Callithrix jacchus: one gene and its partners. The protein of the gene in region 1 interacts with the protein of each later gene in a pairwise test. Links are inferred from orthologs where the notes say so. Each region holds a gene or a part of one and is shown in the gene's direction. Other genes may lie near its edges.

Region 1 (9,822 bases):
GCCAGGTATACTGCTGGGGACCAGGAGTGCCTCCAAGTTCCACACCCAAAACTCCCGGAAGGACTGAGTACCCGCCTTCTGCAGGCTCAGCGTGTCTGCGTGGGTCCAGGCACAGCCAGAGCCGCCATCTCCAAAGCTGGCGTTAGGCATGTCCTTGCCAACAGCACAGTCTCCCACCAGCTTGGAGGCCTGGCTCAGGGCCGCAGCCGCCTCCTCATCAAAGCCAGGACCAGGGCACAGCAGCGCCAAGTGACAGTGAGGGCCAGAGAAGGGTTCACTGGACCCCAGGAGGGGCCGGGTCTGGGCGGTAGCTCTGTGTGGGTCCAGTGGGAGAGAGGGACTGCGGGAGTTCCAGCATCAGGAGAAACGAGGGAGCTCCTAGGTGGATGGGTAGGGGAGCCATGAGCCCAAGGCCTCTGTGTGCCGAGTGCGTCGGGGCCACTGCGAGCCAGCCACCCTCCATCTTGCTGGTGGTTGTGGTGGGTCTGTGTGGCAGGCAGGGAAGTGGAGGCACCCCGTGCACATCTCACCCGGACTGAGGCCGCATTGCACTCACTACAGGGCACAGGGCCTGTTGCCCGGGGCCTTTCTAGGCAGTTCTCTGAGGCAGCACCAAGGTTCATGCGGAAGCACGCTCTGGGATGCTCTGGGAAGACAGGATGTCCCATCCCCATCAGCAGCTTCACTGAAGCGGCCAGCGGGGAGAAGCCTGGTCCGAGAACTGCCCGCCTCGGCTGGGTGGATTCCAGACAGGGACCTCAGAGAGGACACAGCTGCGTTCGGAAGCCAGAGGAAAAGTGCCGTCTGGGCGGAGGCAGGGTGTTCTGTCTGATTTTGAGTCACCGTGTCACTTCCCTCTGGGGATTTGAAAGGAGCCACATACAGGGCTCAGCCTGAGGGGAGTGTGGGGCGGGTGGCAGGGTGGGCCCTCAGCACAGTCTCTAAAGAAGTGTCACTTCTCAGTCTGAGCTCAGCTGAGTCACCGGGGCTTCCCAGTGTAGGCCGGGTTAGGACACGTACTTCCTTTGTCATTCAGGGAAATCTCAAACATGACATCACTGAGACGTAGTAGGAATTCTAGGGCACACATGGGCTTCATGAGACTTTCCACTTAGCGCTGTGGTGGTTAGTGGGTCTCGGTTTGGGTCGTGGCTTCCGTGACTGAATCTCCTGACCCTGCATGGGGCAGAGGTTAGATTGCTGGGTCCAGAGTCCCCTGGTTGAACCTGACTGTCTGCAGGCAGGACACTGTCAGCCGGGTGCGTGGCCAGGCCCACCCTGGGCGGCTGGGGCCCCCTCGCTGGAGAGTCTGGTTTACAGTGAGGTTCAGCTTCCTGCCTTCCCTGCTGTCTGTGATGATGGCAAATGTCTGGCAATGAGAAGACTCTGCTGTGTCTGGTGTGCCAACCCCTGTAGACATTATGGCTTTAGAATATTTACATTCCAAATATTTAAAAGACAAATAGCTGGCCGGGCGTGGTGGCTCATGCCTGTAATCCAAGCACTTTGGAGGCCGAGGCAGGCGGATCACCTGAGGTAGGGAGTTCGAAACCAGCCTGACCAACATGGTGAAACCCCGTCTAAAAAAATAATAAAAGACAAACAGCTGAAACTGGTAGGTAGGTTGGGATGAGGACAGTGTCACAGGGACGAGGACTGTGTCACAGGGACGAGAGGACGGTGTCACAGGGACGAGGATGGTGTCACAGGGATGAGGACAGTGTCACAGGGATGAGGACAGTGTCACAGGTGACGTGGCCTGGTCCTGGTGGGGTGGGCCTGGGCAGGGAGGAGGTAGTCCCTTGTCCCCTTGTGCTGCTCCGCCAAATGAACGATCACTACCCACTGCACTGGGGGATGCAGTGAGACGCTGTGGCCTTAGTCTCTGGGTCTAGCTTTCTCCCGCCTTGCTGTGTGTGATAGTGCGTCTTCTCTCTGTCCCTTCCTCATGCAGTCAGAACATACAGGTGGGCCCACCTCCGTCCAGAGTGTTATTGAAAAGTTACAGGAAGAAAACCGACTGCTAAAACAGAAGGTGACTCACGTGAGTGTCTTTCCCGTTTCGTTTGGGAGGGACACGTGCCTTGGAACTGAGTGAGGGCTCTTTCCTCGGCTGATGCCAGAGGTCGCCCCACCTTCTGGCCACGATGGCTTCACACACACAATCCCTAGAGACTGTACTTTTTTTTGCCTACAATGATGTACAGGACGTGTTCTGTCCATCTCTGTCCCCCTAAAATGAACTCACGCGTCAGTGAAGGAAATGCGGGAGTCGCCCGCAGGAGGCACCTTCTCTAACGGAAAAGTCGCACCGTGCCCACGTCTGTTTCTGCGGTAGCGTACGGGCGTCGTCCCAGTGCCTCAGGATTCTCTAGTGGGCTGAGTGTCTGCTGTCTACAGAACAGGGAGGGGAGCTTCCATTTCAGAGGAAACTCGCTCTGCGAATCCCTGCTAGGAAATAGGCCACACTGGGCGCCGGCCTGAGCAGCGCTGTCAGCTGCCCTGCTCCACCTCCGCAGGTTGAAGACCTCAATGCCAAGTGGCAGCGCTACGACGCCAGCAGGGACGAATATGTGAGGGGGCTCCATGCCCAGCTCAGGGGGCTGCAGATCCCCCGTGAGCCTGAGCTGATGAGGAAGGAGATCTCCCGGCTCAACAGACAGTTGGAAGAAAGGATAAACAGCTGCACAGAAGTGAAGCAGGAGCTGGCGACCTCGAGGATGGCCCGGGACGCTGCACTGGAGCGGGTGCAGATGCTGGAGCAGCAGGTGTCTGTCCCCCGGGCTCGGGATGGCACTGACCAGCTGATGTCCAAAATCATGGGACAGGCTGGGCTGAAGGCTTGGTGGCCCTGAGTGGGCGGTGGTCATGGTGGGGGGAGAAGCCTGGTGGAGACTCCTCCTTCCTTGAGCAGGAATGTGTGTCTTGGCTCTCTTCAGATTCTAGCTTACAAGGATGACTTCATGTCAGAAAGGGCTGATCGGGAACGGGCCCAAAGTCGGATTCAGGAACTGGAGGAAAAAGTCACCTCTTTGCTGCACCAGGTGTCCTGGAGACAGGTAAGGTATCAGGGCATTTTTCTTCTTGCTTAGGTTTGCTGTTTTTGTTTTTCTTCTCATGAATTTAGAGCCTTTCTGTGTCTGCCAAGGCCCTGATGTGCTGGTGATGAGGGTGGTGAGCTCTTCCTGCTCTGGGAAGAGCCATCTTGCCTAGCACCTGGGGCATGGTCCTGGAAAGCCTCCCTGTCGCACTGGGTTTAGTTGTGGAGGAGGCTGGCATGGCGGCCTGTGTGAGCAGAGGGGCTGTCCTCAGGGCCTGTCCTGCCTGCCTGTCCGTCACTGCCATGCAGTCAGAGAGCGTGTCCCGGGCCTCAAAGTGTGAGCTCCATACATGTCCTGTCCTGTCTGTGAGGCAGGAGCCCTGCTTACCCTGTCACAGAGATATGATGGCCCTGGGTATCCAGGAACCTCCCCCAGCTCAGCCTGGCACATGGAGCTGGGCCTTGCTGGCCAGAGGCCCCTCACCCCACCCCTGGGCTCAGTGCTGTTCCTGCCATGGGGATGCCTTGAGGAGGCCTGCTGTGGGTAGGAGGTGATGGAGCTCCTCACTGTGTGGCCCACAGCCTCTTCCCTTCTCTTCACTGACTTGTGTTCTGCAAAAATCCCGAAGTTTGTTAGCTCCTCATCAAGTATCTAACACACGTCTGGCCCGGGCCCCACTCAGAGACCTCCTCCCCGACACAGGCTGAAAGGTAGTGGTGCCCTGAGAGTCGACGCCCCCCCGGGCGGGAGCTGGGACGCCAAGCTGAGCTGCCCCTTGTGGCAGGGTGTGGACAGGGATCCTGGGGCTGAGGGCAAGCCCCACTGCCCTGTTCTGAGCAGCCACTGGGCCTCTGTGGCTTCTGCTTCTCCTTCTGCACGAAGGGCACAGGGGAGTCATGGTGGGCGCCTCTTCTAACACGCCCTGGGACTAAGCTCGCAGCCAAGGGCTGGACACAGGCAGCCGTTTGTAGTCGTGCATGACGGAGGAGGAACCTGGTGGGGGACTGTCTTCCCCGCTTAAGTCCACAGGCTGACAGGGAGGTGCTGGAGGCTTCACCAGCCACAGCAGGCCCTGCCTTAAGCCCTTGCCGGCCCCTGCAGCCTTCTTGGCATCATAGAATGGAGTGTATCTGGGTGGTTCCCCATCCCCCAATTTCAGATTCTCCTGAGTCGCTGGGACAGCAGGCCTGGGACAGGGATTCTTCAGCATGTCCCCTGGGCAGGAATGGAAACATCTTGCTACAGAACTACATGTGGGTTTTCCTGGGATTTGGTTTTGCCTGTGGGTTTTCGGGGCTCCGTGAATTTGAGGAAGCCATGATATGGACTGAGGGGTCACTAATGGTACAATCGTGAGGATGGGCTCAGGCAGCCTCTCAAAGATTTCAGACCAGGGGAACGGGTTCCAGACCTGCAGGCCCAGATTCTTAGCCCCAAGGGTAAAATTTCTGGTAGGGCCTGGAGACTGTACCAAGTGGCCTCTGTGTCCCTTTCAGCAGTAGCCTGGGGCCCCTGGAGTGTTGCTCAGTCCCTAGGTGGCATACCTGGGGACATGGTGCTGAAGGCTTGGGTGATAAGCTGTAGTCCCACTGGGGAAAAGCCACATTCAGACGGAACGTGGAAGCCCAAGGCCCGCTGGAATGGCGTTCCCAGACGAGCAGTGAGGGCTGCAGGCTGCAGTGCTTCAGGACAGGCGTTTGGAGAACGTGTGCTAAGCTGTGCCAAGTGGTGGGGCCAAGCCAGGGACACCTCTTGCTGCTACTGAAGGACTCCCTGGGCCCCAGAGTGCTCAGCACCCCCAAGCCCCACAGAGGAGATGCAGAGTGGGGTTGGGACTGTTTGCCCAGCTCCCCATCCTGGGCTCTGCCACCTCCACGCTGTAGTGGTATGTGGGCCACATCGTCAGGGCCACCTTCTCAGTCGGGTCTCCTGGGGCCGATGGGGCCGACAGAACAGGGCTTCCACCAAAGAGCTGGGGAGTGGATCCCGCTAGGGCCTGTTTCTTCCTGAGCATGAGGGAGAGTGTGCGTGACCTCTGCAGTCATTCACTGAGCACACCTTTGTCTGGGCTCTGGGGTACAGCAGGAAGCAAAGTGAGGGACTACAGTTCCATTCAGGGATAGATGCAGCAGCCCTAGCTGCTGGGACCTGAGAGCCGGCTTTGTGACCTTCAGCACAGCCCATGTAAATAGACCCTTGCCTTTTCTGCAGGATTCTCAAGAGCCAGACGCCTGCCGGACTCACGCTGGGAGCAAAACTGCCAAATACTTGGCCACCGATGCAGTGGCGCTTATGGTGCCCTGTGGCTCGAGGCTTGGGACTGGGTCCCAGCAGTTGGAACCCCCTGCAGAGGATGGGCATCCTGGTGCAGCGCAGAAAGGCCAGGGGGACCTTCAGTGCCCTCACTGCCTCCAGTGCTTCAGTGACGAGCAAGGTGAAGAGCTCCTCAGGCATGTGGCCGAGTGCTGCCAGTGACTGAGACTCACCATGTCCTTGCGGCCCCTGGCCCGGCACAGCTGCCCTCAGGGACAGGGAGGTGCTCTCAGGTGCCATGGGTTGGCTCTACTGAGATCCAAGACCCCCAGAATATGTGTGGGGTGCTGTGATCATTCACTCTGGTCCCCCTTTGGCTGTGGAACAGGCTGGGTCCCAGGGAACTGCCAGTGAGGCTAGAGGCTGGAGGTGGAGATGGGAGGGAGGTCCCAGTCGTATGTCTCCATCAGGCTGAAGCCAGAGCGATCTGATGCTGGCGTGCCAGCCCTCCCCCATCCTGCACCTGGGAATGCCGCAGCTTGCCAGAAAGGGGTGGCTGCCTGTGGGAGCCACTCGTGCGGTCCCCAGGGTGGAAGCCCCATCCTCTTCTACGGGTAAGGTGCCTCCTCTCTGCCTGGAACCAGGAGGTTTGTCACATGGAGCACTGGCCGTGCATCACACTAGGGGCCCACCCACCGTCACAGAGCCACATGCCTACACTGCAAAACAGCATCGAATAGCATTTGTCGCATATCCAGAACTTAAAGCACTTATTTTATCCTCCTGTTTTTATAATAGATGTTCTTGCCACTGTGACTGCTCTGAGAATTTGTGTTGGGCGCTGGGTTGCAGGGACTGAGCAGTATTTCCAGCAGGATTAGAGCAGCTGGCATGGGAAAACAATACTCCTGCTGTTTGCTTTATGCCAGGGTGCCAAGACAAGGGGTCCAGTGGGAGGCTGGCTCTGTTAGGGTTCTCTAGAGGGACAGACTCATGGAATATATAGAGAAGTGAAGATTTCCATTCACTGCTCACCTTCAGGGATGTCCTAGAAGGGGGCTGTGGCGCTGTAGCCGTCCACTTCATATATATAAGGGGAGTTCATTAACTTACACGATCACAAGGTCCCGTTCGCAGGCTGAGGAGCAAGGAGAGCCAGTCCCAGTTCCAAAACTGAAGAATGTGGAGTCCGACATCCGAGGGGGGAAGCATCTGGCACGAGGAAGCTGTCGGCTGGAACTGAAGAATGTGGAGTCCGACGTCCGAGGGGGGAAGCATCTGGCACAAGGAAGGTGTCGGCTGGAACTGAAGAATGTGGAGTCTGACGTCCGAGGGGGGAAGCATCTGGCACGAGGAAGCTGTCGGCTGGAACTGAAGAATGTGGAGTCCGACGTCCGAGGGGGGAAGCATCTGGCACGAGGAAGCTGTCGGCTGGAACTGAAGAATGTGGAGTCCGACGTCCGAGGGGGGAAGCATCTGGCACGAGGAAGGTGTCGGCTGGAACTGAAGAATGTGGAGTCCGACGTCCGAGGGGGGAAGCATCTGGCACGAGGAAGCTGTCGGCTGGAACTGAAGAATGTGGAGTCCGACGTCCGAGGGGGGAAGCATCTGGCACAAGGAAGGTGTCGGCTGGGAGGCCAGGCCCGTCTCTTCTCACGATTTTCTGCCTGCTTTATCTTCTAGCTGCGCTGGCAGCTGATGAGATGGTGCCCACCAGATTCAGGGTGGGGCTGCCTTCCCAACCCCTGACTCAAGTGTGAATCTCTTGGCAACACCCTCACAGACACGCCCGGGATCAGTACTCAGTATTCACCACCACGAGTCCACCCTTGTCAGCCTGAACCCAGACACATCTCCTGAGCTCATACACAGTCTTCAAATAGACAGTAATGAGGTCATAATTAACACCTAACATAATACAACGTCTTTCATACAACCAGAAACGCACCAATCCCCAACCCAAATGCTGTCGTGAAGTCAATCAATCTTATGTCACAGGAGAAAGGAAATAAAAGGAAGATTTTTTAGCACAGGTGTAAACGTGCACAACCATTTTTAACAAAAGCAGGAAATGCTCATGGCAACTACAGGCCTGGTTTCTGCAGCTGGTCACATGGTCGGAGCTGGTACTGACGACTCCCTTCTCCCACCCATTCTGTATTCCCTTTGCCTTCAGCAAGCACCTCAGCAGGTCGTGGATATTTTCCTGGTGGAGCCACCCAAGCCTTCATTCCCGAAGGGTCTGGCTCATCTGTAGCCCTGCCTGGATTGGGCTGCCGTAGTGTCCCATTGCCTTAATCACAGGGCACGGGAATGCTGAGGCGCCCTAAGGGAGCTCCTGTCTTCCATGCACACTCTTCCCTGCCTCCCTTGTGGGGTAGTAGACTGATTTCATCTTGATAGTCTGGGTCGATCACCCCGGCCAACACTGTAACCCCCTTCTTAGCCTGTAGACTTAAAGGAAGGAGGAGCCCAAAGTGTCCATGTGGAAATCTTCCAGCTTAATGGAACCATTGTGTCTCCTGGTGGCAGCGTTCCTCCCTCTGGAACTAAGACCTCTAGGCCAGTAGAACATAATGTCGTGGGAAGAGGAGGCAAAACTTTTGCCAGTGGGCCCCTAGGGGTGATGGCGAGTGGTGCCACTTCCACTTCCACCCCTTGATTCCTGGACCCGTGAATCCGGGGCATGGGAGAAACAGTATCATATATTGGATGCTGATTCAGAGTATACACGGTCTCCTGGAGAACTGTGCCCCAGCCCTGAAAAGTACTGTCACCTAGTTGGCGTTGTAATTGTGACTTCCAAAGGCCATTCCACCATTCTATCCAGATGCTTCGGGATGGTGGGGAACATGGTAAGCGCAGTGAATTCCAGGAGCGTGAGCCCACGGCTGCACTTTCGCTGTAAAATGAGCACCTCGGTCAGAGGCAATGCTGTGTGGAATACCATGATGGCGGATGAGGCGTTCCCTGAGTCCACGGATGGTAGTCTTGGCAGAAGCACTGGGTGCAGGATAGGCAAACCCATATCCAGAGTAAGTGTCTATTTCAGTGAGGACAAACCTCTGCCCTTTCCATGATGGAAGCGGTCCAGTATAATCAACCTGCCACCAGGTGGCTGGCTCATCACCCTGAGGAATGGTGCCATACTGAGGGCTCAGTATTGGTCTCTGCTGTTGGCAAACTGGGCACTCAGCAGTGGCCGTGCCAGGTCAGCCTTGGTGAGTGGAGGTCCATGTTGCTGAGCCCATGCGTAACCTCCATCCCTGCCATCATGGCCACTTTGTTCATGGGCCCATTGGGCGATGACGGGGGAGGCTGGGAGAGAGGCTGAGTGGTGTCCACAGAACGGGTCATCCTACCCACTTGATTATTAAAATCCTCCTCTGCTGAGGTCACCCACTGGTGAGCACCCACATGGGATGCAAATACCATCACAGTTTTTGACCACTCAGAGAGGTCCATCCGCATACCTCTTCCCCAGATTTGTTACCTATTTTCCAATCATGCTTTTCCAAGTCCCTGACCATCCAGCCAAATCACTGTCCACAGCCCATGAATCAATGTATAATCGCACATCTGGCCATTTCTCCTTCCATGCAAAGTGCACAGCCAGGTGCACTGCTCCAAGTTCTGCCCACTGGGAAGATTTCCCTTCACCGCCGTCCCTCAGGCATGTCCTCGAGAGGGGCTGTGGTGCTGCAGCTGTCCACTTCAGGTGATGCCCGCATATCGTGCAGGACCATCTGTGAGCCTGGCCCTCGTCTTCTCTTTGTCAGCTGATCATAGGGAACTCCTCATGAGCCTGTCAGTGCAGGCTGCGGGAGAGAAGGCAGGTGGCAGGAGTGGAGACCATGGGCGTTTGAGCCACTTCCTCATGTAACTTACTTGTGCCTTCAGGACCTGCTGGAGCCTGATCACGTATCTACCACTTCCATTTGATGACGGAATGCTGCTGTGCACAACCCACTTCATGGCTGGATGGGTCAGAAAGCACTCAGTTCATGACAGGCAGTTCAGGTCACATGGTGACTTGATGACCTAGAGTCAGACGTTCAGTTTCCACCAAAGCCCAGTAACAGGCCAAGAGAGTAGTTATCTGCAGAAGATGGCAGGGCCTTGTCCAAAATCGTAGAGGCCTCTGCTGCGATTCTCCTATGGGGGCTGCCAAAGTCTCCACACGGCACCCCAACTGCACCGACACCTCAAGCACCATTGGGTCTGCTGGGTCACGTGGCCCAAGAGGCAAGGCAGCCTGCACAGCATCCTGGGCCTGGGGCAGAGCCTTCTCCTGTGCTGGACCCCACTCAAAACTGGCAGCCCTTCCAGTCACTCAATATATGTGCCAGAGTAACACACACAAGTGAGGAACGTGCTGCCTCCAAAATCAGGACAGGCCCACTAGGCGCACTGCTTCTTTCTTGGTTGTAGCAGGGGACAAATGCAGCAACTTCCTTCACCTTAGAAGGAGTATCTCAAGAGGCTCCACAACACTGGACCCCTAGAAATTTTACTGAGATGGAAGGTC
Region 2 (10,598 bases), about 96 Mb from region 1:
TTCAAAGATTTAGTGATACTATTGTTTGGATATTGGTCCCCTCTAAACCTCATGATAAAATGTGACCCCAATTTTGGAGGTGGGGCCTAATGGGAGATGTTTGAGTCACAGAGGTGGATCCCTCACAAATGGATTGATGCTCTTCCCTGAAGGGAGGGGAGGATGTGTGAGTTCTCACTGTATTAGTTCCCATGAGACCTGGTTACTAAAAGGTTTGGCACCTCTCCCCTCTCTCTCACCCTATGATCTCTGCACAGACCACTCGCCTTTGCCTTCCGGAGTGAAAGCAGTCTGAGATCCTCACCAGACGCAGATTCTGGTGCCATGCTTCTTGTACAGTCTGCAGACTGTGAGCCTAATAAACCTCTTTTCATTACAAACTACCCAGTCTTGTGTATTCTGCCATATCAACACAAATGAACTAAGACAAGTGACAAACACAATATAACATGTCTTTTAGGCAATATTGATGCCTGAAATTCCACACTGAGGCATTTTTTTTCTTTGTAGCCTGATAATGGTAAATACTTTCTGACACCTTAGGATGGATGAATTTGTAAGAAATATTCCTGGGGGGGAACGATCCAAGATGGCCGATCGCTAACATCCCCGGATTGCAGCTCTCAGGGAAGGCGCGGAGAACTAGAGGACGCCACACTTTCAGACAAAGTCTGGTCGCTCACGGAGCAGAAGATCCCCCAGTGGTGGAAACACACGAGTCGCCAGCGCGACTCTCGTGGTCGGTGCAGCGGTTCCGCCGGCACCTCGGCGGGCAGCGCTAGGCACAGAGTAAACGTGGACCGGTTCCCCTTCTGACCGAGGTTTGGAGCCCCGGGAAGGCAGAGTCGCCTACTACGGAAACAAGAAGGAAGCCAGACAGGAGAATCCTGGGCAGAAAAGCACCATCAGTTTTAATGCCGCTGCTCTGGCCCTGGGAACTAACAACCTGGACATCCACTCAAGAGACCTAATCTGAAAGTTGGTAATTTCAAAGACGACAGGAGGATAAATTTACAATGACGGGAAGAAACCAGCGTAAAAAAGCTGAGAATACTCAAAGTCAGAACGCCTCTCCCTCTAAAGATGATCACAGTTCCACATCGACAATGGAGCAAGGCTTGATGGAGAATGAGCGCCTCCTGATGACAGAATCACTCTTCAAGGAATGGATAATAACAAACTTCGGTGAGTTAAAAGAACACGTTGTAGCCCAATGTAAAGAAACTAGGAACTTTGAAAAAAGGTTTGATGAAATCCTATTGAGAATAGACAACTTAGAGAGGAGTATGAGTGAATTAACGGAACTGAAGAATACAATACAGGAACTCCGAGAAGTATGCACAGGTTTAAACACTCGAATTGTTCAAGCAGAAGAAGGGATATCAGAGGTCAAAGTCCAACTTAATGAAATAAAACGTGAAGAAAAGATTAGAGAAAAAAGGATAAAAAGGAATGAGCAAAGTCTCCAAGAAATGTGGGACTATGTGAAAAGACCAAATTTACGTTTGATAGGTGTACCTGAATGCTATGGAGAGAATGAATTCAAGCTGGAAAATACCCTTCAGGATATTATGCAGGAAAATTTTCCTAAACTAGTAAAGCAGGTCAACATTCAATCCCAGGTAATACAGAGAACACCACAAAGATATTCCTCAAGAAGAGCAACCCCAAGGCACATAATCGTTAGATTCACCAGGGTTGAAACGAAGGAGAAAATACTAAGGGCAGCCAGAGAGAAAGGTCAGATAACCCACAAAGGCAAGCCTATCAGACTTACAGCAGATCTCTCGGCAGAAACTCTACAGGCCAGAAGAGAGTGGGGGTCAATATTCAACATCCTCAAAGAACAGAACCTTCAGCCCAGAATTTCATATCCAGCCAAACTAAGCTTCACAACTGAAGGAAAAATAAAATCTTTTATGAACAAGCAAGAACTCAGAGATTTTATTACCACCAGGCCTGCTTTACAAGAGCTTCTGAAAGAAGCATTACACACAGAAAGAAACAACCAGTATTAGCCTTTCTAAAAATACACCAAAAAGTAAAGAGCACCAACATAAAGAAGAAATTACACCAACAAATGGATAAAACAGCCAGTCAACATCAAATGACAGTAACCCTAAATTTAAATTGACTAAATTCCCAATCAAAAGACACAGCCAAAACCCAACGGCATGTTACATCCAGACCTGTTTCACATGCAAGAATACACAAAGACTCAAAACAAAGGGATGGAGAAAGATTTACCAACCAAATGGAGAGCAAAAATAAATAATAAATAAATAAAAAGCAGGAGTTGCAATTCTTGTATCGGATAAAATAGATTTTAAAGCAACAAAGATATAGTGGTAAAAGGATCAATGCAACAACAAGAGCTAATGATCCTAACACCCAGATAGGAGACTTAGATTCAATGAGACAGAAAATTAATAAGGATATCAAAGACTTGAACTCAGATCCAGAACAAGTAAACTTAATAAATATTTATAGAGCTCTCCACTTCAAATACACAAAATATACATTCTTGTCAATACCACATCACACCTACCCATTAGTTTAAATGAAACATTAATTGGCCATTATTAATACCCAATTTTTTTCAAAATAAAGCAATATTTCCATTTACTCTCCCTCTTTCTCTTCCTCTTTCTTCTTCTTCTTTACTTATTATTTTTTTTTCTTTCCTTCTCTCAAATAAAAAAAGAAATCAACTTGTAAACCTCTAGATCCAGGTCGGCAATATCTCTTTCATTGCTTGATTTCCTTTCTTCCCCTCCCTCCCTCCCTCCCTCCCTCCCTCCCTCCCTCCCTCCCCGCTTCCTCCCTTCCTTCCTTCCTTCATCCCTTCCTTCCTCCCTACCGTCCTTCTTCCCTTCCTTCCTGCCTTCCTCCCCCACCAAAAAAAAAAAAAAGAAATATTCCTGGAAGCAGGTTTGTGCAGAGTGTAGAGAAAATGTTGGGCAACAAAGCAGGAATGGAGGAAGGTTAGTCAGGGAGCCAAAAAGAGTGAGCTGAAGGCTTTTATAGTTTTGCCTGCTGTGGTGCATGAAATTACATCCCCCCCAAAACATATGTTCAAGTCCTAACCACAGGTACCTGTGAATATGAGTTTATTTGGAAATAGAATCTTTGCAAAATGTAATCAAGTTAAGATGAGGTGATGCTGGATTGGGGTGGGCTCTAAATCCAATGACTGGTATCTTCATAAAAGAAAGGTTAGGGAGATTTTGAATACAGTGACACAAAGGAAATGCAGGGAAGGAGACTATGTGACAATGTAGGCACAGAGTGGAGTGCTGCAGCCAAGCCAAGAATGCCAAGTATTGCTGGAACCACCAAAAGCTGGGAAGAGCCAAAGTATTCTTCCCTAGAGCCTTCAGAGGCAGCATGGCCTTGATGGCACCTTGAGTTCAGAATTTTAGGCTCCAGGACTGTGACAGAATAAATTCCCATTGTATGCCATCCAATCAATGGTACCTTTTACAGCAGCCCCAGGAAACTAATATGCCTGCTCAACACCTTACCCTCAATTTTGTTCATTTTATGAGATCATTTTGAGTTTGCAGTTTGGTTTAATCTTTTTCAGTAATTAACACTCTTCATTTTTCCTCCCATATATGTCACAGTGACTGTACTCTTGCAACAATTCTATTTATCTATTTTCTGGCAATGGGGCTGCCACCCCTTGCAGAACGAAAAGTAGAGTGTGTATGCTCATGCCTCCAAAAGTGGGGGAACCCACTCCCCTTACACTTTGTTATTTCATGAGAGCTTGCAGACTTTTTACTCATGTCACTGGCAAAAATCATTTAACATAAACTGTATCTCATTCTACTGTAGTATTGGCACAACTTCTAATATTGTCCCATAAATAATAACACAGAAATTCTTTTCTTTTTTTAGTCTTGCTCTGTCGTGCCAAGGCTGGAGTGCAGTGGCACCATCTCGGCTCACTGCAACCTCTGCCTCCTGGGTTCAAACGATTCTCCTGCCTCAGCCTCCCGAGTAGCCACCACGCCCGGCTAATTTTTGTATTTTCAGTAGAGACGGGATTTCACCAAGTTGGTCAGGCTGGTCTCAAACTCCTGACCTCAGCTGATCCGCCTGCCCCGTCCTCCCAAAGTGCTGGGATTACAGATGTAAGCCATCGCGCCTGGCCTACAGAATTTCTTTAAAAGTCTTTGTGTTCAATCTTTATGAATCTTCTGAATCCCAGCTGCTCAGCCTCTGGGAGCTAAATGAGATCTCTTAAAGGTAGACTGCTAGGTGCGGAGGCTCACCTCATAGGCAATCAAATGGATCTGTTTTTTTTGTTTGTTTGTTTCGTTTTTATTTTCCATAAAAACACTCCACCAAGAAGGTTCTTATGACCTACTGGAGAAGGAGGACAGAAAGTGGGCATGAAAGGATTAGGATGAACATGCCATAAGCAATCTAAATGTCACTGCGACATTGCCTGGTGCAGACCTGATTACTGATGTTTTAAAGCTAAGCTTTCAGTTGTCACTCGACCCAGTAGTTAAACAATGAGCTCTAAAATATCTATTTCGGCTTAACATGCTTATGTGGGGAGGTAGTCCACTACCAACTTCTCCCCAGCCTGTGCCTAGTACAGTGCCCAACACTAAAGCAGTTCAGATGCCAGTGAATGGTGGTGGCCACTGGGAGGCCTGTCTGTGGGTGCCAGTAACGATCTCTTCAGAGAAAAAGAAAACTCCCCTCTGTCAGATCAAATGCATTCCTACCACCATCACTATGATTCTATCCACAGTAATTATCATAAAAGCCTAACAATATCTGGTAGATGAATGTTCTGAGTAAGTGTCCTAACCAGATTTAAGACTGCACCAAAACCAGTAGAGGTTACTTCACTTGACACAAGTCGGTTATGATATCTAAATTCTAGTTTAATCTGCGAAGAGATTTGAGTGTAACTGAGACACACTTAAATGGAATATACAGATGAGCTTTATTTTTATATCTGGCATGCTTGGATCCATGCCGACCCTCCAGCTGCTCGGGCCTGCCCTTAGGGTCTCTGGACCGCATGACTCTATCAGCTGCACCGCCGCCGCCGCCGCCTCCGCGCCGCCTGCGTTCCTAGACCATCAGGCCCAGCAGGCGCTTTCTGGGGGCGTCCCTACCGGCTCCAGCCCTCGGGGTTCGGGAGCGCCTGGCTGGGAAGCCAGAGCCCTGCAGGGTACCGGGGCGTCCTGGCCTCCTAACGCGCGCCCCTCGCCCGGCGCCCCGAAGCGGCCCCGAGGGGCGGGAGCCGAGCCCAGAAGCCAGGCCGGGCCTGGGGCGCAGGGCGCCCCCATAAATGCGGGCTTCCCCCACCCCCGCCAGCGACCCCACCTCCCGCCCCCGCTGCGTGCGCGCGTGTGTCAGTCTGTCTGTATGCTCTCTCGACGTCAGTGGGAATTTCCAGCCAGGAAGTGAGAGAGTGAGCGACAGAGAAAGAGAGAGAAGTGCACCAGCGAGCCGGGGCAGGAAGAGGAGGTTTCGCCACCGGAGCGGCCCGGCGACGCGCTGACAGCTTCCCCTGCCCTTCCCGTCGGTCTGGCCGCCAGCCGCCGCCGCCCTCGGCCTGCACGCCGCCGCCGGCCCGGCTCCCGGAGCCCAGCGCCGCCGAGGCCGCAGCCGCTCGGCCAGGAAGGCGCGCCGCCGCCCGGCCACAGCGCGCCCTGCGCTTCCCTCCGCCCGCGCTGCGGACATGGCGCGGCGCTGACTGGCCCAGCCTGGCCCCGCTGCGCTCTCGCTCGCCCCGACCCGCACCCGGGCCCGCTCGGGCTCCGGCCGGCCGCCGCCTCTTCCTTCTCCAGCTCTTAGGCCCGCGCCGCCCGGGAGGGAGAGCCCACCCGCGACAGGAAGCCGAACGCTGACTCGCCACCCGGGTAAGCCAAACTCGGGCGAGTGGGGACCCGGCAGGGTACGCGTGGCCCGAGTCCCACCACCCAGCCCTCCGCACCCCTCCAGCCCCACTCGGACTTCCTTATTCCTGCGCTAACCGCTGGGCTAGACCGTGGGAGAAGGTTGACAGTAGCTGAGAGGCACAAGGGATTGGAGACAGCGGGGAAAGGCACATCCGGACCTCGCAGGGGCTAGTCGGCCGAAGGGCCGCGGCCGCCGGGCGGTCATTCCTCTTCACGTCCTCGGCGCATCCGGACCTTGCAGGGGGCTACTCGGCCGAAGGGCCGTGGCCCCCGGGCGGTCATTTCTATTCACGTCCCTCCGCGGGGCGGGAACGCTAACCGGTGGGGAACTCTTACAAACTTTTAAAATCCCCACCCCCAGCCGCAGCTGGGGGATGGTGAGAAGGTTGAGGTGCGCTGCGGCGCGGAGGAGAGAGGGAAGGTGGTTGGTGCAGTGCAGAACCAGATTTCACCTAAGGGCGTTCCATGAAATGAAAGCAGAAGTCCTTGTCAGTCCTTTTGGCTGGGAAAGCCCTCTCCAGCTCCCCAGAATTGAATAGGAGAGTCTATTCATCCCTCTCCTACTTCTAAAGGAAGGCTGTCCCTCCCTCCCTTCCTCTCTCTCTCTCTGTCTCTCTCTCTCCCTCCCCCCTCCCTCCCGCCCTCCCTCTCCCCCTGCCCCCCACCCCCCAACCCACCACACACACGATATAGTCACTTGCATACTTAGAGCACTTTTTAGACTTGATTATGTAAAACTCTTGGACAGAGTCACCATGCATTGTGCATGACCTCCAAAACAAAAAATAATGTAAAAACAATGCCTAACCTAAATGTAAGTTTTCCTATGGTCTTTAAAAACATATACACCAGGGGATGTTTGCCCTGGCTTACTGGTCTATCCTGAAACTCAAATGGGACTTAATGATACAGGATTTAATTATCAAGATTCAAGACATTTTCATGTACTCTGTTAAGTAGAGGTTTTCAGCATTACAGTTTATGAACTAACTGTATTTAACCTAAAGATTTTGTTATAAAGCTCATAATCTGAGAAAATGCTTATGGTATTACTAAAACATTGACTAGCTCTGGCATCAAAATATTCTTCTACACACTGGTGATCTTTAGTAAATACTAAAGGTTGGGGTCATGATGTTCCATACGTTTTTTCTAGCAGAATCCGACAACTGAATATTATCAAGCAGTTTAAAGTGCATTCCTGTTTGTTAAAACTTTAAAAGGGAAACTTAAAACTGAAGTATGTTTTTTTTTCCTAATTATAATACTGTGCTTTCTAGAGGTGAATCCTTTTACTGTTTGAGGCACTATGGGAATTATGTATTTAAATTTGAAGCAGAGTACTTTTTTTAGTTTATAAACTTGGGAAAGCAGGAAGTAAAAAGATCTGTTCCTTGTAGAATTTTACATTCATGATTTAATTGAATTGCTAAAACGAAAAGAGCTTATACGATTAATGGAGACATGAAATCTGAGATTATTCATCCATATTGATATACCTGCAATTCCTAAATAGCCTCCCCTGCTTGTTTAGATAAAATGTCTTCCTGGGCTACAGCCTGCTGGACAAACTTGAACACAAAGGAACACGTTATATGTATGCTTAATACTGCTGCTTGCAGTGAAAAAACCACTTAAACTCTTAGAGACTTTTTAAAGAAAACAGTATAATCCTGGGTTGCTGGTGATTTAAAAATCTTATTATCTTTTTTTTTTTTTTTGAAATTTCTTATGTTCTGCATTGGTACTCACTTGTGCTGAGTAAATGCCCCTGTTTTTCAAACCCAGGTAGTAAATATGGGGGTATACATTGCAAAAATAGTCCTTCCCCTTCCCCTTTGTAAGCATTGCTTTGATCTTTGCACTTCCTTTTTACTCTACCTCTTAAACAAGATCTGTGATGGTTGAGTTGATTAAAGCAAATTAATCTGAAATTGGCAGAATTTTATATTTAGTGATCATATTCCTTACATTTCTCTTGTTACTGTTCCTGGAAACAAATTGAACTAATTTGAGAAACTAATATTTATGCAGGTTGCTTTAACCACACTTTTAGACTTGCAGATAATTGATGGAGTAAGTTACTACCTTGACTTTCAGGGATTGCACATTGTGGGAGAGATAGGGAATTGACAGCTACATGAATCTTGGATGATCCTTCCATCAGCAAGACCTTATTTTTACCTAATTTATGAGAGGTATTTCTCTGTTCAGAGGAGGTGAAAGTTCTGGCTTTTGGGGGAAGTGGTTGCTTCATAACCTTCAGTTGGTTTGAACTTGGGAGAAGTAAGACGAGTAGTTGATTTTTCAAACAGTAACATAATTGTGTCTGAGTTGCTATATAGATTTTTTATAAAGTACTCAAAAATGTCATCTTTTTCATCTTCAAGTCTTAGTAGATGTGCTATTCTGAGCATAGAATTGACTGCAGTAGGAAGCATATCTGGAAATGTACTGTTGTATAACCAATAGAGTAAATACTCAGATTATGCTCTTCTGGTCCACAGATTGATCAGAAATCGCATTAACAGGAATGGAAATACATGAATCAATGGCTATGCAAAATTTCTCATTAACGTTTTTACTTTTAGTAGGAAGTTTGTTTTATTAGGTTGGTCTGTTGGTTTTCTGTTTACAATGTGAATTGTCTACAGTAGTTAGATTGTTACATTAGAAGATGGGAAGGAAAAAATAGAAGTTAGTGCTAGAGGATACATTAAGATGTTCTGCTCCTACATCTACATTTGTGTCTAATCAGCATTAATTGATTACTGCATCTTGGTAACCAGTAGACCATACTGTAGCCATTTACTCTGCTTTTTGGGAATTAGTTCTCATTTGCACTTTTGCACCTCCCATGAATACTGAACTCACTTGTAGTGTTCTTAGAGGTGAGCAATAAACCATCAGGAGTATGTGATATCTCTTTGAATTCTGTCACTACTTTGGAGACAGAGACTTGAAGAACTAGAGGTACTCAGCCTCACAGAGAAAGGTGTGAATGTTTTGGCATAGTCTTGTGAGTCAATTTGGTTCCTTAACTGTGAATTTTTTACTCAAAAAAGATTAGTATTTGAAACCACATAATTTGGTACAGTTCTGGTAACATAACCAAACCATTTATCTTCGTAATATTTCATTAATTAGTATCCCGTGCCTCACTTTCAGAAGAAAAAAAGATAAACAAGTAGTGGCATTCTTTTAATGATGATGAAATTCCTTCATACCTTTGGTCTCTGCTGTATTGGAGGTTGTTCCTGGGTGCAAATTAATATACTGTCTTTTACATCTCCGGAGGTTGTTGACCTGTCCTTGAAGATCAGCCAACAGTTTAGAAAATAAGTTGTGCAAATTACATTGCTTCACCTCAAATAATTTAAAGCCTGACAGTTATGTACAAAATAAGAGTCACATAAGATAAGAATTGTTAAAGATTATAGAAATCTCAAAAGATAGATTATGGATGAAAATATTTGTTTAATTTAGAGTACTACTAATAGAAAGTGTATTTTATATTAAAAATAATTTTTATTCTCATATTTTCTGTAGTAACACAGATTTAATTATCAGTAATACAGATTTCATCTGCTTTAATGTATTGCCTGCTTTTGAAATTAGAACACTCATATATTTGGTTTAATTATTCATTACAGATTGCCTTATTTTTTTTATTTCTTTTACCATTAATCCAGAAACCTTAAAATAGCTTTTATTTTGACCCTTGCTTTCAGTAGGTATCAACAGACTTGAACTCACTATGATCCTATTAGTTTAAACTGTGAAAAATTTTGGCTGATTGAGCTTTAAAAAAGAATTTATGTATTCTATATGGCTTATTCTTTAAACTAGCCAAAATTATAAACAATGAAATAAAAAGAAAGGAAAAGCTGTCTGAGAGAATCATATTCTATAGTTCAACTAAAAAGAAATAACATCTTATCTGTACTGACAAAAGCAATATCCGATGCTCAACGTTGTACTTGTTGGCACATAGTAAGCAATCAATAACTGTTTAATGAATGACATGAAGTTATTGCATTTTGTTTTTTTAAATGGACAGCCATCTTCTATAAGGAACAATAATGATATTATTTTGCTTTGTCTTCTGGAAAGAAAGGAGACCAAAACAGTCCTTGCATCCTAGCTATTATGGAACTCTTACCTAAAAAGCTCTTGAAGTTTACTAGAACAAATCATTTATTAAAAAGTACCTGGAGCCTTCCAAAAGGAGAACGTTTCATTCTGAAAGAGGCATTTATGAACAGGGGAAAAAAATGCCTTTTAGTTTCAAAGTTTTAGAGGCACCAGAGCAAGATAATAAATTAACTGGAATGATAAAAGGTGTTTGTCCAATTGAAAAATGTAACTTCTTGGTGAAATTAGAATTTCTTTACACTCCATTGAAACTGTAATATCAAATACTAATACCTCAAAAAAAGAAGCAATGCTACAAGCACTGCTTGGTAATCCAACAATTGTTAACGCTTATGTAAATTAATCAACCAAAAAGTTAAAACAAAATGTGTTATGACCTCTAGAATTAAACACCTATCACCCGTAAATGTGTGACTGTTAAGAATTACTAGATGGCAAACCTCAGGCACAAGCAGGCAGTGAGCAGGGTTTACTGTACTTTCCATTTTCATACTTTAATGGTTTTTGCAA
Region 3 (9,822 bases), on another chromosome or scaffold:
CGAGACTCCGTCTCAGCAGAAAATGTCACCTTTTCGTCATTATGATTTTTTTTGTTTGTTTGAGACAGTGTTTTGCTGTCCCCAGGCTGGAGTGCAATGGCGCAATCTTGGTTCACTGCACCCTCTGCCTCCCTGGTTCAAGGGGTTGTCCTGTCTCAGCCTCCTGAGTAGCTGGGATTACAGGCCCCCACCACCACGCCCCGCCAACATGCCCGGCTAGTTTTTCTATTTTTAGTAGAGATGGGGTTTCACCGTGTTGGCCAGGCTTTGTGATCTGCTGGCATTACAGGCGTGAGCTACTGCACCTGGCCAAGTTGACGGTTTTAAAGGGTGCGATTCAGTGGCATGTAGTGTGCAACTGTCACCTCTGTCAGCTTTCAGAACATTCCCATTACCTCAGTGGGGAACCCCTTCTCCGTGAGCCGTCACTCCCCATTCCCTCCCCAGTCCTGACACCCAGGATGGGTCTGACCTGGACGTTTCACGGAAATGGAGTCACACACCGTGTGGCATTTTGTGTCCGGCATGTCTCACGGAGGGTGCCGTCCTCAAGGTGCATCCGCGCTGTGGCCTGGGTCCGAGCCCTGCTGCTGTGCACGTCTCTGTCACGTTCCAGCGCGTGGAGGGCCGCGCCGTGTTGGACCGCTCATCTGCGGGTGGACACTCGGGCTGCCCCCACCTCTGCCTGTGAATCGTGGGTGCTTTGGTGCCCGTGCACCCAGTTGGCATCCGCATCGAATGCCTCCTGAGGGCCTTGTTTAAGCCACGTCCACAGGGACTAGGGCATGTGGTCTGGAGGTGGGAGTTCCTGGGAATCCATGTGCCTCCCAGTCCTGCTCTGAGCCTCAGGAGGCTGAGCCGTCTCTTCCCCGTATGATCTGTTTCTAGGCTGATGGGGGCTCCTACCCCCATCCCTCTGTGAGCTTGAGTGGCGTTTATGACTCTGCTTCCTGTTTCCTGTCTGGCTAATCAAGTCAGCAAAACAGTCCACACTGCCTGGGCAAGGCCAGCGGGTTCCTCATGTGGTACCTGGGAGCAACTGGCAATGCCCTAACAGCCGGGCTTCCCTCTCGCCGAGCTCTTAGGGTTCCCTGTGGCTCTTGTTCATGTTCTGTTCTTTATCTGGCTGGAGACAGCAGAGGAAGCCTGGCGATCTAGAGAGGCTGATGTGCCCCAGCATCCCAGAGGTGACTGCCAGCAGGCAGAGGGTGCTCCACCCCTGCTTCTCCCCTGGCGTAAATCAGGGGACTCGTGTGCCTGCGCAGAATGTCTTGGTCCCTTTTAGTTAAACAGACAACCCAGTGTCCCGTGTCTGTGCCCACCTGCTGAGGAACGCCGGGCTGCTCCTTGTTTCGGTTGCTGTGCAGTGTCCCTGTGGAGGGGAGGCAGGGGCAGGGCAGTGGAAGGGGCTGGCACCCTCAGTGCGGGCAGGTTCCTCCTGTTCCTGTTTCCCCACCTGTAGAATGAGGGCTCGTGGGGGAGACGTGGTGTCAGCAGGTGGTGGCCGGCACAGGTTTCCAGGACTGAGTCCCCACCCTCGTCAGTGCAGGGAGGTTTCCAGGACCGAGTCTCCAATCCTCATGTGCATTTAGGGCCATGCAGCCCCTAAGTAAGACTCTGAGGCCTGACTGCCCCTCCTCGGGGTTAGGACTGCACTGGAGCCTGGGTGGGTGTGGGGTGGTCCCTGCCTGGGCAACAGGAGGTGGACGAGAGCGGTGCTGGCCCCGAGGGTCCCGTGGCTCCCCTGGCCACACTGAGGAGGCTGGAAGAGGGTGTCCTGGGCCACCGTCGCTGCCTGTAGCCGGCTTCTGCCAAGGGAGGGGCACCTTTGCCTCATGGCTGAGCATCAGGCTCTCGGGGCCTGGTGTCCGAGCATCCGGCCTCTGCTGGCCAGTGGCAGCCTCCGTCGGCTCTGGTGTCCCTTAGGCAGTGGCCCCCTAACATGAAGCGGCTCATCCCGACACTGGGGAGGGCCCTGGACTGGCCTGGTCGGGGCTCAGGCTGGTCCCGATCTGAAAACAGCACCCTCCCCACCCACCACCACTCGGTCTCCTCTGAACAGAAGGCAAGTCTTGGCTCGCAGGATTGGGCTGTGGCCCTCATCAGCGGGGGGGGGCGGTTAGGGCCACACAGATTCCAGGGGACAAGGGGAACTGGGGCTCAACCGGGCCTCTTGGGCCCACCCCGAGCTCTCCTGAGCAGCCTGGCAGGCAGGAGGGCACTGGGCCCCGGAGCCTTTGCTGAGCCCAGCCTGGCCGTCAGCGTCCCCCTCAGTGCCCTGGGTGCCTGCCAGCCTGTGGACACAGGCCCTGGCCAACTCTATAAATAGCCTTGCCGGACCTTGCTGGGAATTGGTGCCACCGCCACATAGCCCGGGGAGAACGGAAATGCAGGGCTTCCCAGCGAGAAGACCAGGCCCGCTGCAACCAGTGGGGAGTGGGGACGCTCCGCAGGGCAGGGTGCTGGGCACAGCCAGGGGCTGGAGGCAGGCACTCAGTGGTGCCTCTCTGTGCCCCTGTCCTTTCACCCAGCTTCCTTTCCCTCCATCCTGCTCTCCCAGCTGCTGTCCGATCTGGTGGCCCCTTGTCCCGGCCCAGCCCCAGTGCAGCCTGCAGCCCTGACAGAGCCCTGGTCTTGGCCGTCTGAGATTGCACTGAGGGCAGGGAGCAGTGTCAGAGCCTTGGGATTCTTAATGCACTGGGAGTCGTGAGCTGAGGCTTCCAGCAACAGGCGGCCCTGGGCAGGGGCGGGGCAGGATGAGTGGTGGGACACCTCTGCCACCCCGTTTCATGGAGCCCTGGGCAGGGGCGGGGCAGGATGAGTGGTGGGATACCTCTGCCACCCCGTTTCATGGAGCCCTGGGCAGGGGCGGGGCAGGATGAGTGATGGGACACCTCTGCCACCCCGTTTCATGGAGCCCTGGGCAGGGGCCAGGCAGGATGAGTGATGGGATACCTCTGCCACCCCGTTTCATGGAGCCCTGGGCAGGGGCCAGGCAGGATGAGTGGTGGGACACCCCTGTCACCCCGTTTCATGGAGCCCTGGGCAGGGGCCAGGCAGGATGAGTGATGGGATACCTCTGCCACCCTGTTTCATGGAGCCCTAGGCAGGGGCGGGGCAGGCTGCATGATGGGACACCCCTGTCACCCCCAGGTATATTTTTGGAGATGGAGTCTCACTCTGTTGCCCAGGCTGGAGTGCAGTGGTGGGATCTCGGCTCACTGCACCTTCCACCTCCAGAGTTCAAGTGATTCTTGTGCCTTGGCCTCCTCAGTAGCCAGGACGGCAAGTGTGCACCGCCATGCCCGCCTAACTTCTATAGTTTTAGTAGAGAGGAGGTTTCACCATATTGGGTAGGCTGGTCTCGAACTCCCGACCCCAGGTGATCCTGCCACCTCAGTCTCCCAAAGTGCTGGGATTACAGGCGCGAGCCGTGTCCGCCCCCCCCCCCCCTCTATTTTCCATGCTCCGTGCTTGCGCTTCCTGTTAAGGATGTATAGACTGGAGATACAGTTTCATACTGTACAACTCAGTCGCAGTGTGCAGTTCATTGGCATTTCGTACATTCACACGGTTCTGCAGCCACCACTTAATTCCAAAACATTCCGTCACCCTAAAAACAAGCCCCGTTCCTGTAGTGTCAGTCTCCGTCCCCTCCACCAGCCGCAGCCACTCTGAATCCACTTCCTGGATTGGGATCCTGTCGACTGGGCGAGGTGGCTGGGCACTTTGGGAGGCTGAGGCGGGCGGATCACGAGGCCAAGAGATCAAGACTATTGTGGCCAACGTGCTGAAACCCCGTTTCTACTAAAAACACAAAACTTAGCCGGGCGTGGTGGCGCATGCCTGCAGTCCCAGCTACTGGGGAGGCTGAGGCAGAAGAATTGCTTGAACCCAGGAGGCAGAAGTTGCAGTGAGCCAAGATCGCGACACTGCACTCCAGCCTGGCAATAGAGCGAGACTCCATCTCAAAACAAACCAAACAAAATCAGTCAGGTTCAAGCGATTCTGCTGCCTCAGCCTGCCAAGTAGCTGGGACTGTAGGCATGCGCCACACCCAGCTAATCGTTGTATTTACGGTAGAGACAGGGTTTCACCATGTTGTCCAGGATGGTCTCGATCTCTTGACCCCAGGTGACCTGCTGCCCTCGGCCTCCCAAAGTGCTGAGATTACAGGCCTGAGTCACCATGAGCTGCCTAACTTTTGTGTTTTTAGTAGAGACAGCGTTTGCCACATTACAGGCTGGTCTCGAAGTCCTGACCTCAAACGATCCCCCCGCCTTAGCCTCCTGAAGTGCTGGGATGACAGGCGGGAGCCATCGTGCCTGGCAGGGTCACTCTGGAGAAATGAGATGTCCGCAACAGGGCAGCAGCTGCAGAGGAGGCAGTGCCTTCTGGCCTGCTGGGCCCTGGGCACCGGACACCAACCCTTGTGACAGGCGGGTGGTCATGGCAGACCCCGCAATGGCTTCAGCGGCTGGCTTCTCCTTCTCCGGGTGCCCCTTCCTGTGGGCCATCTTTTCAGCTCACCTGCAGCCCACTCTCCAAGGCCTGGGACCCTCAGAGGAGTGGGGAGCCCTTGGAAGCATGGGACCATACTGGGCAACAGAGGCGTCACCAGGGCCCCAAGGCCCTGTTTCCTCCCATCGTCTGGGCTCCATCTGTGCTACTGTGGCAGTAGTCTTGTGTCTAGAAAGCACAACTGTGACTGCGTAACAGCTGAATTAAGAGTGTTCTCACCCAGTCCTCCAGAGCCCTCACCAGCCAGGGCGCCGCCTTCCCTTCCCCTGCCGCCCCGAGCCTGGAAGTGTGGCCCCTGCAGGGCCGTGCCCCAGCAGTCTGAACCCATAGCTTCTCTCCAGGGAAGGGAGCCAGATGTGCCACCTCCGTGGGGAGATGGGGAGGCCGACCCCGGGGATTTGGGTCATGTCACTGACATCGGGGGATCAGCTGACACCTTTTTCCTCTCTGTCCCAGGGAAATTCAGTTGCTGAGGAGGTTACGGCACAAAAACGTCATCCAGCTGGTGGATGTGTTATACAACGAAGAGAAGCAGAAAATATATCCTTCCCAGCGCTGAGCTGCGGGGCCTCCGTGGGAGGGGCTGGGGGGCCCTGGGTCGGGCTGCCCTAAGGTCTGTACCCCGTCTCATCTCCCTGAAGGATACTGGCACACGAGGGCAGTGGCTTTCCCTGGTTCCCCAGAGGTCAGCCATTGTGGCAACAGCTAACCGCTTGCTGAAAGGGGCCCCAAGCCCCAGCCCTGTGTCATGGGGGGTGTCAGGACCCGTTTTTCTCACATCTCCTCCCTGGCTAATGAGGGTGCGGCCGGGGCCTGAGACACAGGCTAGTGTTGTGGGCCATTTTCCTCATGGCCAGGCATGTCCTCGTGTCATCTGTAGATGCCCCCAGTGGGTCCTGTGGGCACAGCCTCCCTACGGGGACTGTCCTTCCCGGGGCCCTGTGCCCAGAGCAAGAGCTAGAAGTGGTCCTGAGGCTGGGGCTGTGTTCCCTGAGCTGCAAGGCCAAGAGCCTGGGCCTGTCTTACGTGGCCCCGAGCCTGCTCGTGGCGGAGTCTGGGAGGCCTTGCCCCTGCTTGTGGGCAGGGTGGGGAAAGGGAGCCCCGCAGGAACGCTGCCGGAGAGCCCTGTCCTTCACACCTTCTCCGGCTTCCTCCTGGGACTCCAGGGCCCTGGGCCTTTGTAGAGGTGTGGCCCCGGGGAGTGGCAGGGTGGGAGTGGCAGGGTGGGTGCGCGGGTCCCTTCAGAGCCCTGTGGGCGGGGCCGCTCCTGAGCTGTGTCCTTAGCACCCCCGCACGTATATGGTGATGGAGTATTGTGTTTGCGGCATGCAGGAGATGCTGGACAGCGTGCCCGAGAGGCGCTTCCCGCTGTGCCAGGCCCACGGGTGCGTGCGGGCGGGGCCGCTCCTTTCCCGGTACCCACGGGGCCTGTCCTGACCTTCATTGACCCGAGGGCCTCAGTTTGTTTGTTTGTTTGTTTGTGTGTTTGTTTTTCTCCAGACAGAGTCTCCCTCTGTCGCCCAGGCTGGAGTGCAATGGCGCGATCTCGGCTCACTGCAACCTCCGCCTCCCGAGTTCAAGCAATTCTCCTGCCTCAGCCTCCTGAGTAGCTGGAATTTTTGTATTTTCAGTAGAGATGGGTTTCATCATCTTGGCCAGGCTGGTCTTGAACTGCTGACCTTGTGATCCATCTGCCTTGGCCTCCCAAAGTGCTGGGATTACAGGCATGAGCCACCATGCCTGGCGGCCCGAGATTTTTGAAAACAGTTTTCATGAAAACAAACAAACAAAAACCAGTTTTAGGGACCCCCCGTTTGTGGCATCCACAGGCAACGCTGCTGCCGGCCTCCTGCCTCCTGTTGCCCGAGGCCAGCGGCCTGCCCCCAGTCAGTCCCCGGCATCCCCTTGCCCTGACCGGCCCTCCTGGGTAGAGGTCTGGTGGCCAGAGTCAGGGCCCCTTGCTGCTGAAGGGCCTTAGGGGAGGGGCCTACTGTTCCAAGACAGCTGTAGCCAGCTTGTGGCCCACGGGGAAGTGAGACCTCTGGACACCCGGGGCCCTGCCTGATGTGGCTCAGCCTGACAAGGGTGGTCACTGCCAGTGCGGGCGAGGCTCCCTGCTGGACCCAACCTTTCCGCTGTCCGGTGTGCCTGGACCCTGTGACTCCCCAGCTGTGCCTGTGGTGTTTGGGAGGCTCCCAGGTGGCTGCAGAGGAGAGCCTGTGATGGGCGGGGTGGCCTCGGCCCTGAGACAGGTGTGTGCTGTGCTGCCCGCAGGTACTTCTGCCAGCTGATCGACGGCCTGGAGTACCTGCACAGCCAGGGCATCGTGCACAAAGACATCAAGCCGGGGAACCTACTGCTGACCACCGGCGGCACCCTCAAGATCTCCGACCTGGGCGTAGCTGAGGTAGGCACGCGCTGGGGGGCCCTGGGGCGCCCCGTCCCGGCACTCTCTGAGGGCTGCGCGGCATCTCCACAGGCACTGCACCCGTTTGCGGCAGATGACACCTGCCGGACAAGCCAGGGCTCCCCAGCGTTCCAGCCCCCCGAGATTGCCAACGGCCTGGACACCTTCTCAGGCTTCAAGGTGGACATCTGGTCAGCTGGGGTCACCCTGTAAGTGCCCCGGCTGTCCCAGCACTCACCATACACACAGCTTGGAGGGGCCTCTGTGTCTTGGGTAGGCACAGGGCATGGCCATCAGCCCAGTCCCTTGCTGGCCACAGCCGCTGGGGGGTGCTTACCTGAGGTGTGACTCCCAGAGCACATGGTATTTCACCGTGGGAGGTGCGGCCTGGCATGTCGGGTGTCTTCACAGTGGCACAGCCCACCCTCACTCCCAGAGCCCCACAGGGAAGCCAGGTGGGTGAGATTGGCTCCAAGCCCCTACCCCAGGTGGGTCCAGAGGACACCCCCCTCCTGCCCCGCGGCCTCTGCTAGTGGGAGGGGGTGACGACAGAGGTGTCCCTGAGCTCGCACGGCCTGCGCTCCAGCGGCCACACGAGGGCTGCAGAGCTGGGACTCCCAGGGCATCGACCACCGTGGCTGACCACGCCCCCTTCCTTCTCCTTGAAATGAAGCTACAACATCACCACGGGCCTGTACCCCTTCGAGGGGGACAACATCTATAAGCTGTTCGAGAACATTGGGAAGGGGAGCTACGCGATCCCAGGCGACTGTGGCCCCCCGCTCTCCGACCTGCTGAAAGGTGGGAGCCTCATCCCTGTGCCCACAGCCCCTCCACAGGGAGGAGGGGGTTTTGTGCAGAAATGCAGGCTGGGGGTGTCAGGTGGGTGGCTGCTGGCCCTAGGGACCCTAGCAGGGCATTGAGAGGACTGACTGGAGAGGGCGGCCTCCCCAAAGGTCCTCCCCGGCCCTCCCCGCCGCCGCCATTACTCAACTCCACCCTTTCTTCTGGGCCTTGTGTTCCCCCTTTGTACTCCCACCCTTGAAGGTAGCGCTGCCCTGCTCTTCCCCCCCCCCGCCCGGGCCTCTGAGCTCCCTGGCCTGCAGGGTCTGCCAGGCTCACGCTGCTGCACATCTGCGAGTGGCAGCAGGTGGCACTGGTCGCCCATCCACCATGCAGTGATGTCCCCTGGAGTGGCCTCTGTCAGGGAGGCCGCCCTTGGGAGCATCCAGGCGTCACCCAGGGCTTGACAGCAGAGGCTGGGCAGGTGGGGAAGGTTGGTGGGGTCTCAGTCCTGTGCCTGGCGCTGCCCGGCTCCTCACCTGCCTCTCCTCAGGGATGCTTGAGTATGAGCCGGCCAAGAGGTTCTCCATACGGCAGATCCGGCAGCACAGGTGAGTGGGGCCAAGGCCACAGGGAAGCCGGCCATGGGGGCAGCTGCTTGAGTGGGGGCCGGAGCAGGGGGCGTGGTGGGGGATGTGGTGGGAGTGCCGGTCTGGGTCTAGGGCAGGATCACGTACAGTGCTCACAATTCTCGGGGCCTGAGGGGGGTCTCTGGGCAGCGCCCCCTTGCTGGCCAGACAGGCTTTGTCTGTGCTGGGGTCTGAGTGAGGTCATGTGTCCATCCCTGCTCCAGGCCTGGCATTGGGCCAGGAAAGGCACGGCTGGCCCGGGCACTTGGAGGGTCTTCCTTTTCCTTCCTCACTGGGATCCAGCCCAGGGCCCCCAGCTCCACCACAGGGAAGACAAGGCAGTGGGTGGGGTCAGCAGGCCCTGCAGTGCCACCTCCCTCACCTCCTGGGCCAGCCCCTGGGCGGGGGGTCCTTGAACCTTCTGCTAAAGCCCTCAGAGTTCCTCAGCTGTCCAACAAGGCCTGAGTGGGAGTGTTTGGACCCCTGAGGCGCTGGTGCTGATTGTGCCTGGGGCATCTTTGGGCAGCTTGGGGCAGCTGGGAGCCTGGTGGGGGCTGGGGCTGCCCTCCGATAGCCTCCTGGGCTGGATGTGCACGTGGCCTCCCTTCTGGCCTTTGCTGACCTGCATCTGGGGGGTGCCCTGGCTTCTGAATGCCACCTGGGAGACAGATCTGAGGCTGAAACGGGGCATGGGGGTCAGGCCTTGGGGTGGAGGAGACGTGTCAGGTTTGGAGTGAGGTCAGAGCTGTAGGGCCCTGGCAGCCTGGCTGCTCCAGGAGGGCATAGCTGAGCTGCTGTGGTCACGGCCACCCCTCGCATTGCCTGGTCCCAGCTCCGAGGAGCGGGGTTGGGCAGCTGGACTGCCCTGTGCCGGCCTGATAGGTGCCACTGCTTCTGGGCATTTGCAGCTGGTTCCGGAAGAAACACCCACCAGCTGAAGCACCGGTGCCCATCCCGCCAAGCCCGGACACCAAGGACCGGTGGCGCAGCATGACTGTGGTGCCCTACCTGGAAGACCTGCACGGTGCCGACGAGGACGAGGACCTCTTCGATATCGAGGACGACATCATCTACACTCAGGACCTCACGGTGCCCGGTGAGTCCCGCTGGAGCAGGGCGCCTGCCTGTCTGTGGTGAGGGCAGCTTCTGCCCTCTGGTGGCCAATCCATGTCCCCAAAGCCTCCAGCCCACCTGCAGGCCGCCTCCGCCCTGGGCTGCTGTGACATGGCTGAAAGTGTGGGGGTGGCAGGGGCACCGGCCAAGGCCTATCTGGCCGGGAGGGTTCCTCAGGCTCCTCCCCTGGTGCTGCCCAGCCAGGCACCGCCCATCGGCCTCGGCCTGAGTTCCAGCAGGAGCAGGCGGGGGAGGCCTGTGGTCGGGGGAGGGTGGGTCAGAGTCAGGGTGCAGGGTGGCCCCTCAGCTGGCACAAGAGAGGGTCCAGTGGCCCTCCCTCCCGCTGGGCCTGACGCTGGCCACCCTTCT

The links.
Region 2: the proteins of TNIP2 (region 1) and NFKB1 interact in binary tests that used the Homo sapiens proteins (3 or more experiments, as listed by UniProt). The link is inferred for Callithrix jacchus from reciprocal best matches to the Homo sapiens genes TNIP2 and NFKB1.
Region 3: the proteins of TNIP2 (region 1) and STK11 interact in binary tests that used the Homo sapiens proteins (3 or more experiments, as listed by UniProt). The link is inferred for Callithrix jacchus from reciprocal best matches to the Homo sapiens genes TNIP2 and STK11.

What each region holds. Positions count from the first base shown.
Region 1 is NC_133504.1:190,414,291-190,424,112, forward strand, and holds the end of TNIP2 (TNFAIP3-interacting protein 2), read left to right. Parts: intron 1-1,954; coding exon 1,955-2,044; intron 2,045-2,519; coding exon 2,520-2,768; intron 2,769-2,939; coding exon 2,940-3,059; intron 3,060-5,252; coding exon 5,253-5,516; 3' UTR 5,517-7,326; downstream 7,327-9,822. UniProt on the Homo sapiens protein: Inhibits NF-kappa-B activation by blocking the interaction of RIPK1 with its downstream effector NEMO/IKBKG.
Region 2 is NC_133504.1:94,839,539-94,850,136, reverse strand, and holds the start of NFKB1 (nuclear factor NF-kappa-B p105 subunit), read left to right. Parts: upstream 1-5,437; 5' UTR 5,438-5,894; intron 5,895-6,091; exon of another isoform or gene 6,092-6,284; intron 6,285-10,598.
Region 3 is NC_133523.1:1,141,597-1,151,418, forward strand, and holds part of STK11 (serine/threonine-protein kinase STK11), read left to right. Parts: intron 1-4,977; coding exon 4,978-5,061; intron 5,062-5,816; coding exon 5,817-5,906; intron 5,907-6,795; coding exon 6,796-6,928; intron 6,929-7,000; coding exon 7,001-7,137; intron 7,138-7,601; coding exon 7,602-7,729; intron 7,730-8,264; coding exon 8,265-8,322; intron 8,323-9,248; coding exon 9,249-9,436; intron 9,437-9,822. UniProt on the Homo sapiens protein: Tumor suppressor serine/threonine-protein kinase that controls the activity of AMP-activated protein kinase (AMPK) family members, thereby playing a role in various processes such as cell metabolism, cell polarity, apoptosis and DNA damage response.